Linked DNA regions of Xenopus tropicalis. The protein of the gene in region 2 purifies or fractionates together with the protein of the main gene of each other region. This does not show direct contact. Links are inferred from orthologs where the notes say so. Each region holds a gene or a part of one and is shown on either strand. Other genes may lie near its edges.

Region 1 (3,829 bases), on a different chromosome or scaffold from region 2:
AGACGAGATTGGGGGAACATATACGGAATATAAAAAAGGGGTATATGAAACATCATTTATCTCAACACTTTGCCAAGGTACACAATAAAGACCCCAGTGGCCTTAAGTTTATGGGGATGAGCCATATGAAACCCAAATGGAGAGGAGGAGACTTAAAAAAGAGTCTCTCCCTGGAAGAAACTAAATGGATATATCAGCTGGGGACACTGGTGCCTCAGGGGTTAAATATTGATTTTCACCTGACATGCTTCTTATGAGTATTTTCCTTTTTTATATTAACACTTGTAACTGTGGCTCTAACTATTTATATGGGTTTAGGAATTCTGTATTTAATGTTTTATCTATTTATGTATATTTTTTTAAATTGGGCTTGATTCAGGAATCCTATATATAAGTCTTGATTTTTAATTTTATACTGAATTGATTACAATTCTTAATAGTGCATTCTGATTTTTGCATATCTGGAGTGGATGTTGGGGAGTGGATGTTGGGGAGTGCTGTGACTGGAGAAACTAGCTGAGAGCATTAGGACCCCGCAGGCACCGGGAGGAGAATCACATGGGAGGAAGGGAAGCAAGCTCTGAATCGGTATAGGGAAGGAGACTGCTACTGCCCGTAAACGTGGGATTTTTCTAAACTCAACGTAAGTTGCTTAATAGCATGCCGGTGTGTTTAGATGAAGTCTGTTACGCTATGAACTCTGATTATTTTGTTGGAGGGAGTGCAAGCGGAGGCGCAGGATTTACTTATACACCGCTGCATTTATACTGTGTGGTCTCTGGAAGTGAAAACCAACAGCCTGTTAATTCCACTCACACCTTAATGACGAGAGACCGTGTGAGAACTTTAAACATCAAATAAGCAACTTGTATTTATGTATAAAGTACTGGAAGGGTTTGAAATGGACTCAAAAGGGGTATTAACCCAAATCCCTTTTTCACAATAAGGGGTCTGAGTTTACTAATATATGGGCACTTTTATTAACCTCCTTGCCAAGTCTTAACATTTTGAGGTTCAGTTAAGAACAGATTCTGACACACACGGTTTCCTCCCCCTGACAGCTGCACTAATGTTACACACACACACACACACACGGCTCTGTCAGGCAGTGGCGGCTCCATATCGAGCTACTTCCTTATAAGGCCAGGCACTGGGGCAGGAAGCACTAGCAGAGGCTCACGGGTACTTCCCCCAGCCGGCTAGCAGCGTGTGTCTGTGAGAGGCTTGTAAGAGACAGGGAGCTGCGGGGTTTTATAGTGACAGTAATGTTATAGTAACCTTTTTCTCAACGTATCTCTTATTATTCTTGTTTTGTGCAGAATCGCTTACACTGCGTGTGCCCAGGGAGCGGCGAGATGCAGGTGAGAGGGATACGTCTCTTTACTCAGCAGTGTGTATGTAGGGTAGCGCCGGGGCTTGCTACTTGCACCCGAGGGGGGCAGGGGGCACAATAAATTATATAGTCTACCCGGGCGAAAAAAATGCGTTTGTGGATGTTGAGTGGTTGCCTGCTCCACAGTATAATAGGCTCTGTCCCTTTCTGGCTACACCTCCCGGCTATTATACATATGGGCTTTGTCTTTCTAAATTGAAATTACTGCTGCAACTTAAAATTAGCACATAGGCAAGTCATTTGCAGAGCAATAGAGGAGCAGAGTCTGACAAACAAAAAGAGATGTTGCCTTTACATAACAGAAGTTATGGATCTTAAGGTAGCCATACATAGCAATTTTGTTCTTTCCCACCCTCCACTGATGTTCAGGGCTGAATCATCAGATATGGAGGTAGAAACAATGGAAATTCTACCTCTTTCAGCCGATTCAGCCCTGAATGTAGATTTTGCTTAAATGGCGCCCGATCAAAATCTTTTAACCTGGCCGATCGACAAGTCGACTGATATCTGCAGCCTTTTGTGATATCGGTCATCTCATTGAGCCACCATACACGCACCAAATATCATTCGAAACGAGGTTTTGTACAATATCATCGATGCGTGTATGGCCAACTTTAGTGTGATTCTGTTCTAGACATACCAACAGTGGTGCTAGCAAATGTCCCCCTCAGTGTAGTTCCGTCAAGACCATGCAGTCTGCCCAGCTACATAATACAGGTATGGGACCTGTTATCCAGAATGCTCAGCGTCTGGGGTTTTCCAGATAAGGACTCTTTTCGTAATATGAATCTGCATACTTCAGGTCTACTAACAAATCATTTAACATTGCATAAACCCAGTAGGATTTTTTTTGCCACCAATTAATAATGATAAATTATATTTAAGTTGGGATCAAGTACAATACAGTGAAAAGGAAATATGTTTTAAAATGTTGAATTATTTTATGGAGTCTATAGGAGATGCCCTTTCTGAAATTCGTAGCTTTCTGGATAGAGGGTTTCCAGATAACAGACCCCTTACCTGTACTGTATTTGGTTTTAATGTTACTGGGTACAGTCTCCCAGAGCTCTCCTCATTTAAAGAAGAAAAATATTTTATTAGTATTGAAGAAGCAGTTAACAATTGCGCTTATTCTTTGATCTGTCATCTGTGGTATCATTAGTGGTTATGAATGTCCTTACCTTTTCCAGTCTTTGTTTTCAAGTTCTGCCACAAAAGAAAGTGCACTCCTTGGATTAGTATCCACTGTGTGGATTGTAACATAACTGGAAGGTAGTGCACACTGATTGGAGCTAAAAACCTTTATGTGTATACTGTTTTTAACATTTAAAATAAAGTTTAAAGGACAATGAAAGCTTAATATAAATTAAAAGTAAATCTAAAGGCATTCTTTTTAAGTATTTACTGCATATCTAAATTCCCAGATCCCTGCTTGCTTCTCTGAGATATAGTGCTGGCAGCCTACAGCAGTGTGAAGCCTACAGTGACATCACTGAAATCTCTCTGCCCTTCTTGTAGGCTGCCAACGGCAGCCTTCCTATTCTCTGAGCATGTGTGTAACTTGATCCTGTCTCCTGTTCTGAGCTACACATGCCCACCAGCCAATCAGAAGCGGATCTGGCAGAGGGGGGGGGGGGAGGGAATGAAACACATGTGCAGTATGAAGCAAGGAGGGAAGGGAAGGGAGAATACCTTTTTAGAGATGGCTGCCTGTTCTAGAAAATGTAAGTAAGTGTGACTGAGTAAATATTGGATTAGGTGAGCCAAAAGTGTGGCGTTTTTACTAAACAATAGGAGGACTATTGGGCAGTATGCTTTTTAACTTTTGACTTGCATTCTCCTTTAAGGGGAAAAAAGTGTTCTTTCTAGATCATTTAATGTTTTAAGACTCTTGTTTGGGTTATTGTTGCATTTTTTAAATTGACACATGCTTGTTTTAGGATCCAAACGCAGACACAGAGTGGAATGATATTCTGCGTAGAAAAGGTATCCTTCCTCCAAAGGAAAAGCCACAGGATGAAGAGGAGGAAGAAGCAGAAATTCTCCAGCAACAATCTGTTGGTGAGTTATAAGGGTACTAACAGAGAAACTCAAGTTTTCATTATGGTTTTTGGTGTTAAATGGGTTTATGTAATAAAAGACACTAACCTGCAATAGAATAGAGGCAAGCACACCCACATTTCAATGAGGAATTACATCCCTTGTATTTTCTGAGTAATGTTGTGATGGTAGATTCTTTTAATGCCTTTTAAGAGTGGTTTAGATGATTTCTTGAACAAGGATAATATCCAAGGCTATTGTGATACTAAAATATACAATTAGTATTGATGTTGGTATATATATAGTTTATGTATGTGAGTGTATAGATAGGTCGGTATGGGTATCTGTGTGCCTGGGGTTTCTTTAAAGAATTGAACTTCATGGAATTTGATACAC
Region 2 (3,600 bases):
GCACACACCACCTTGCATGTCTGCCAATGCAGCGCTCCGCCCTCCCCCTCATCCTATTGGTACAGATCAGCGGCTCTCATTGGCTCCCCGTTTCATCACCAACCAATTACCAAATTCCGTCTAATACACAGGAATCCAATAACAAGCGTGTGTGTCCGTCTTCAGCACCAAGCTTGCAACATGGGGAAGCACCTTCCCCCCCACGGCAGTGAATGGTATAGCCCTCACACAGTCTTTGGAACGTGGGGGACGTTCCACTGGGGAAAGCCCGGGGGACGTCACAGTGCCTTATTACTTTCCTTATGCAATAAATGCTCCAGCACTTAACCTAAACTTCCCCCCACGGCAATGAATGGTATAGCCCTCACACAGTCTTTAGAACGTAGGGGACGTTCCACTGGGAAAAGCCCGGGGGACTTCACATTGCCTTATGACTTTCCTTACGCAATAAATGTTCCAGCACTTGAGTTAAGCTGCCCATCTGCACATTATTTCATAAATAAAAATCACAGTAGTTACTTCCCATCCAAGCCAGCGACATTCCACTACTCCTCCGGCTACATTGCCCATGTTACAGGGTAGGGCAGATAGTAGCAGGCAGACAAAAGTAAATATTATAATACTTTAATACCGATCAATGACAGCACACTTGCGCGCTGAGGGATTGGGTGTACCAAGATGGCGTAGCGGAATTAGCCCGCTTGTTTGGGTGTACCAACATGACTGAGAGTAAAACATTGCTTGTCAGGTATTTCTGAGCCCAGTGCGACTATCCAGCCTCTCTGCGCCTGAGCATGAACGCATTACATGGCCACAACCATAACTACGTTGGGCGAACAGGGTAGAATCCAACTTAGCAACCGGTGAAATCATGCCCTAGCCGGGCGAGCCGCGTCGTCAAGGCGACAGCTTCTAAACACGCCCCTTATCGCCCAGCCCCTCGGCCGTTGGTAGTTGGCTGCCGAAGGTTCCGGAAGGCCTTCCCGGTGCATTGTGGGAACTGCAGCACCCGGCTTCTGTGAATCTATACCCGGCGCCGCTCAGCAAGATGATGGTGAGTGTGCAATCCGCTTCCATCCTCCGCCATCCGGCCCGGGGCTCTAACGCACCCTGCGGCCCTTGTGTCTCCGAGGGGTTCTGCGTCTCTACCGCAATCATGTGCCGCTGTTTCACACAAAGCCGCAGCGCCTGTCTCTTGGCCTCATTAGCCGCTCCTCTCAGGGCCATTACAGGCTGCCCCGACCCTTCATTTAGCCTGTAGGGCCCTGGGCAAGTGGGCAGTGCTTACTATACCCTGTAGTGCCCCTTAGGCAGCCCCCCCCCCGGCACAGGCAGCCCCCCAGTCACCCCTTAGGCAGCCCCCAGTCACCCCTTAGGCAGCCCCCCAGTCACCCCTTAGGCAGCCCCACCCTGGCACAGGCAGCCCCCCAGTCACCCCTTAGGCAGCCCCCAGTCACCCCTTAGGCAGCCCCCAGTCACCCCTTAGGCAGCCCCACCCTGGCACAGGCAGCCCCCCAGTCACCCCTTAGGCAGCCCCCAGTCACCCCTTAGGCAGCCCCCAGTCACCCCTTAGGCAGCCCCACCCTGGCACAGGCAGCCCCCCAGTCACCCCTTAGGCCAGTGTTTTTCAACCTTTTTTGGGCAAAGGCACACTTGTTTCATGAAAAAAATCACAAGGCACACCACCATTAGAAAATGTTAAAAAATTTAACTCTGTGCCCAGCAGCAGTGCCCCCCTAGTACATTGGTGCCCAGCAGCAGTGCCCCCTAGTACATTGGTGCCCAGCAGCAGTGCCCCCCTAGTACATTGGTGCCAAGAGCAGTGCCCCCCTAGTACATTGGTGCCCAGCAGCAGTGCCCCCCTAGTACATTGGTGCCAAGAGCAGTGCCCCCCTAGTACATTGGTGCCCAGCAGCAGTGCCCCCCTAGTACATTGGTGCCAAGAGCAGTGCCCCCTAGTACATTGGTGCCAAGAGCAGTGCCCCCTAGTACATTGGTGCCCAGCAGCAGTGCCCCCCTAGTACATTGGTGCCCAGCAGCAGTGCCCCCCTAGTACATTGGTGCCAAGAGCAGTGCCCCCCTAGTACATTGGTGCCCAGCAGCAGTGCCCCCTAGTACATTGGTGCCCAGCAGCAGTGCCCCCCTAGTACATTGGTGCCCAGCAGCAGTGCCCCCCTAGTACATTGGTGCCCAGCAGCAGTGCCCCCCTAGTACATTGGTGCCCTGCCTACGGCACTCCAGGCAACATCTCGCGGCACACTAGTGTGCCGCGGAACAGTGGTTGAAAAACGCTGCCTTAGGCAGCCCCACCCTGGCACAGGCAGCCCCCCAGTCACCCCTTAGGCAGCCCCCCAGTCACCCCTTAGGCAGCCCCCCAGTCACCCCTTAGGCAGCCCCCCAGTCACCCCTTAGGCAACCCCCCAGTCACCCCTTAGGCAGCCCCACCCTGGCACAGGCAGCCCCCCAGTCACCCCTTAGGCAGCCCCCCCGCCACAGGCAGCCCCCCAGTCACCCCTTAGGCAGCCCCCCCGGCACAGGCAGCCCCCCAGTCACCCCTTAGGCAGCCCCCCAGTCACCCCTTAGGCAGCCCCCCAGTCACCCCTTAGGCAGCCCCCCCAGTCACCCCTTAGGCAGTCCCACCCTGGCACCCCTTAGGCAGTCCCACCCTGGCACAGGCAGCCCCCCAGTCCCCCCTTAGGCAGCCCCACCCTGGCACAGGCAGCCCCCCAGTCCCACCCTGGCACAGGCAGCCCCCCAGTCCCACCCTGGCACAGGCAGCCCCCCAGTCCCACCCTGGCACAGGCAGCCCCCCAGTCCCACCCTGGCACAGGCAGCCCCCCAGTCACCACTAAAGATTATTAGACTATAAGCAGTGCCAATAGCCCCATGGTACACTGCAGCCTGTCAGACACAGGGCACAGAGTGCCAGTCACCTAGAGCCGGTCAGACCGTGGGCACTGCCATTGCTACTGTGCATTGAAAACACTTCTATGTGTTGTTCATCCCTTGGGCAGTGCCAGTGTCTCAGTGATCCCTGTCAGACCTTGGCCAGTACTGGGGACCAGTATAGGTTGGCAGATCCTGGACATTAGCAGTGCCCCAGTACATCCCGGGTGCTACAGTACCACTGGGCGGCCCATAGCTGGTACCAGAGTCTGTTTTTCCTGCTGGGATTTTCAAGACCAACTCTTGATCTCTGGGAACCTTAACGTAACTTTCTCTTGTGAGGGGAAAGGCACATTTGTCAGGCAGGTTGCAGTTGGTCATAATCACTTGCCCATTGGGGAGACATCCCTGTCCCCATGAGCCATGAAGGCTGTTAGGGAAACCTCTGTGGGGCAGTTTAGAATGGGTTTCAGGAGGGAACCAGATCCGGCCCGGGGAGGGGGCCAAATCCGGCCCGGGGAGGGGGCCAGATCCGGCCCGGGGAGGGGGCCAGATCCGGCCCGGGGAGGGGGCCAGATCCGGCCCGGGGAGGGGGCCAGATCCGGCCCGGGGAGGGGGCCAGATCCGGCCCGGGGAGGGGGCCAGATCCGGCCCGGGGAGGGGGCCAGATCCGGCCCGGGGAGGGGGCCAGATCCGGCCCGGGGAGGGGGCCAG
Region 3 (3,729 bases), on a different chromosome or scaffold from region 2:
GCTTATTATTTGGCCATTTGTAATTTATGGACGTTAATTATTTTCCACACTGTTTGAATCTGAATCCTAAATGGAATACTTTTTTTGTGTTATTGAATTTCAGATTATAGTTAGAAAATGGCAAGTATGATAGATTTTATATGCTTATAGAAGTACTTTACATTAGGAACATAATGTGCTGTAAGGCTGATCTGATTAAATCTGTTGAACTGCCTCTTTAAAGGAACCCCTGTTAAAACCCAGTAACCCAATATTATCAACACTTGAAAAAGGGATGTTCAAACTGCTTTTCTCCTATTCGGCACTTGCTAATTAGCAGTTGTTCCCATTCTGCACTAAATGGATAGATGATTTTTTAAAATATATTGCTTACGAAACTGCACAAGATACTAGAATAGTAGTCAGAGTGAAATACATTCTCCATGTAGACAGTATGCAAGTTTTGTATTTGTACCTTTAGGTTTGAGGTATTAGAATGGTAATACATGCCCCATTTATCCTTTTGAGTTCAGCTTCATTGGTTTTCAGGCTCACAATAGAGTAATATTGCAGAAAGTTTTAAAGAAAACACTTTTTTTCCTGGCAGGTTATTGTTCAAAACTACAATTCTATTTTGACGCTCTCTCATCTCTACCGGTCTTCAGATGCCCTGCTAGTTCATGAAAATGATATTATTCATAAAGTTTGCTCTCAGCTGATGAATATAAAGCAGATTTCTTTCAGGGATGTCAACAAAGTAATTGCACATCAGCTGGGCAGTATATTTCAGCCAGTGTATACATCAGAAGAAGCCTTGCACTACTGCAGAAATCCACTTGGTATGTCTTTAATTTATTACTACAGTCTAACAAGTAAATGTAATTTGCTGTTTGATAGAGCATAGTATGAAATATAGAACACAACTTTAACCTTTAACACGCCATGTCATTCTTGCCTCCATGTGTTTATTTCTTTACACTTTTACCTTTATCTGCATCTCTAACATTCCTCCTGCTCTGTTCCCACAATTGACTTTTACTTAGGGGCACATTTACTAAAATGTGTTTTTTTCTGGCCTCGAAACATGATATGGTATAATTTCGAAGTAACCACGATAATTTCTGTAGTTCTAAAATGTCTCGACAATGCTTTTATTGTTCGTACAAAAATATCGCAGTTGCGTTCCAAATGTCACAAAATTTTTGTGCCAAAAAGTTTGTTAACGCCTTCCATAGGACACAATGGCACTCGACAGATCAAACCTGGTGAAAAGATAGTCCAGATGAAAGTGTGACCAAAGCGTTAACGAATTCCGAAATGTTTATATTCTTTGCGCAAAGTATGATTTTTTGTGGAAATTTACCACAATTTTAATGAAATTTTTGCGTACATTACATGTTCTATAATTTAGAAAAAATACAAATATATCTCCAAATCGTTTAGTAAATGGGACCCTTAGGGGGAGATTTACTAATCCACGAATCTGAATCCCAAAAGGGAAAAATTTGGATTGGAAGCAAAAATGTTGCCGTCTTTTCATCGCTGTCACGACTTGTTTGTATTTGTCGCGACTTTTTCGTATTAAGCGGTTGTAAACGGCGGAAAAACCAATCCGATTTTTTCACGACGGCAATGAAAAAGTCACAGAAAATATACAAAAAAGTTGCGACGGCAATGAAAAAGCCGCGGAACATACGTAAAAGTCGCAACGGCAACGAAAAAGTCGCAAAAATACAGATCATTACAAAAAAAACTCATTCTAACGCCTTCGGACCGTTCGTGGATTAGTAAATGTGCCCCTGTGTGTACTCACCTACATTCTACATGATAATTTACATGCATTTTTTATTTTTCCACCCCACTGCTTTCTGTGCTACGTGCAGAATCTTTCTCAGCAACTTTATTTTTACTCCATTGTTCCACACATCTTCTCATCAATCCTTTAAATCTTTCACACAGCTTTTGTGGTCTGTGCACATTAATTTACTACCTAATTCATCCTTTATCAGATATGTCCATTGGGCATATCCATGCATGGAAAACAGTGTTCTTTTTAGTGTAACCACACAAATTTAAAAGGCCACATTAAAATAAAAATAAAAAAAAAATATATATATATATATAAACTTTTTCAGGGTGCTTGCTAATACAATATTTTTCCTTTTCTTCCCAGGGGAATTAATGGAGTGTTTGGTTCCACACCCAGAATACAAGATGCTGGGTCTCCGTAACATTCCTCAAATGTCTGAACACTCCTTGGCATACAGTACATTTAATTGGAATGGGCTGCTCAAACATTTGAGGCAAATGCTCATTGCAAATGCTAAAATGGAAGAAGGTAAGGACACTCATGAAATAGTACTTAAAATAAATACAAATAGCTAGGCAGTTAAAACATAAGCTGTCTTGTTCACTGCTAGAGTTTATTTCTCTTGGACATTCCCATGGTGATTTTGGACAGTTTTATGGAATAAAAGCTCCTTTCACTTATGTTGTTTAAATGATTTTACTGATAGAAATTGTGGTTATAGCTTCCACAGTAAGAGCATCACAAAACTTAATTCTGTTGGCTCCCATGTTAGCACACAAACCTGTCTTAGTGTATTCAGCTTAGATCACCTAGACATATACTAAAATTTTTGCAAAGAGAATTTATTTTCTGCTCACATACATCATTCTGTGTAAAAGTTTTGTCAGTATAAATCCAGAAAGACAAAAGTCCCTGAAGTCATTGATATTTCCATGAACAGCCCTCTGCCATGTTTCCTTTAAAGTGATACTGACACCAAAAAATTTATTTTAAAAGTATGAACCTACTTCCAAACCTACCTATAGGTCATGTTGACTTTTTTTCTAAAAGTCCTGTTTCTCTACATAAATCTTACTGAAGATCCTGAACCCGACTGTCTGGCAACCCGACTGTAGCTTCTCAATCTGTCAAAAGGACTGCGTCATAAACTGGGAGGATTCAGCTTGCCATTTGCTTCAAAGAGCTCCCCCTCCCTCGCATAGCATTGCATGGAGTTGTGAACTAGATAGCAGGCAGGCTTCATCTTTCCATTGCCTGCCTACTTCAAAGGGCTGTGCCCCCTCTCTGCTCTTCCCACGAAGAATTAAATAACAGGCCTGCTTAAGCTCTCCAGTGCCTGTCTGCTTCTAAGGGCTCTCTCTTCCCCCTCCCCTCCCCATTACACATAGACTACGGAGCTGAGCTTGTCACACCGGCAGAAAGCAGAAGGGGCATGCAGCTTTGTGATTGGGCATATTTATTCATTTGGGAGGCATTTCAATGAAAATCTGGAAAAGGGGAACAAACATGGCTGCTCCGTGGGTCTGTAATTTGTGCTACCATAATTATGAAGTGGAAAAACTTTGCAGATTTAGTTTATAAGGAATTTAAAGCTGATACAAATTAAAACACAACAGCAGGTGTAAAAATAATTTAATTGGCTGTCAGTATCACTTTAATTCCACTGCTAGATATCAGGAATTTTTAGAACAAGTGTGCCAATTAATAAATGCCCTATAAAATATTCCTACAAAAACACACAACAACTAATTACTTTGGAACCAGCACACCCTAAATAATGGGTTTCTTTACTCTTTAGACATTGTACAATTGTCCAGTGTTTCAGCCAATATTAGACCTTTAGGACCTTTCTCAAGGATGGAGAGAAAAGTCCCAATGAGGACCAAAATGTTGGACATCTGAATGTATAAAGAATAAAGAAACACATTATATATCGAGTG

Evidence for each region.
Region 1: the proteins of cct7 (region 2) and pdcl3 purify together in Homo sapiens (co-immunoprecipitation; 4 studies listed by BioGRID and IntAct, counting the BioPlex papers as one, with this or other methods). This does not show direct contact. The link is inferred for Xenopus tropicalis from reciprocal best matches to the Homo sapiens genes CCT7 and PDCL3.
Region 3: the proteins of cct7 (region 2) and tubd1 purify together in Homo sapiens (co-immunoprecipitation; 3 studies listed by BioGRID and IntAct, counting the BioPlex papers as one, with this or other methods). This does not show direct contact. The link is inferred for Xenopus tropicalis from reciprocal best matches to the Homo sapiens genes CCT7 and TUBD1.

Annotation. Positions count from the first base shown.
Region 1 is NC_030678.2:110,233,083-110,236,911, forward strand, and holds the start of pdcl3 (phosducin-like protein 3), read left to right. Parts: upstream 1-1,179; 5' UTR 1,180-1,226; intron 1,227-1,319; coding exon of another isoform or gene 1,320-1,355; coding exon 1,356-1,361; intron 1,362-3,333; coding exon 3,334-3,454; intron 3,455-3,829. UniProt on the Homo sapiens protein: Acts as a chaperone for the angiogenic VEGF receptor KDR/VEGFR2, increasing its abundance by inhibiting its ubiquitination and degradation.
Region 2 is NC_030677.2:16,900,520-16,904,119, reverse strand, and holds the start of cct7 (T-complex protein 1 subunit eta), read left to right. Parts: upstream 1-1,010; 5' UTR 1,011-1,048; coding exon 1,049-1,054; intron 1,055-3,600. Other genes in the region: pradc1 (protease-associated domain-containing protein 1), read right to left, coding at 1-18. UniProt on the Homo sapiens protein: Component of the chaperonin-containing T-complex (TRiC), a molecular chaperone complex that assists the folding of actin, tubulin and other proteins upon ATP hydrolysis.
Region 3 is NC_030678.2:91,504,940-91,508,668, reverse strand, and holds part of tubd1 (tubulin delta chain), read left to right. Parts: intron 1-586; coding exon 587-818; intron 819-2,152; coding exon 2,153-2,317; intron 2,318-3,729. UniProt on the Homo sapiens protein: Acts as a positive regulator of hedgehog signaling and regulates ciliary function.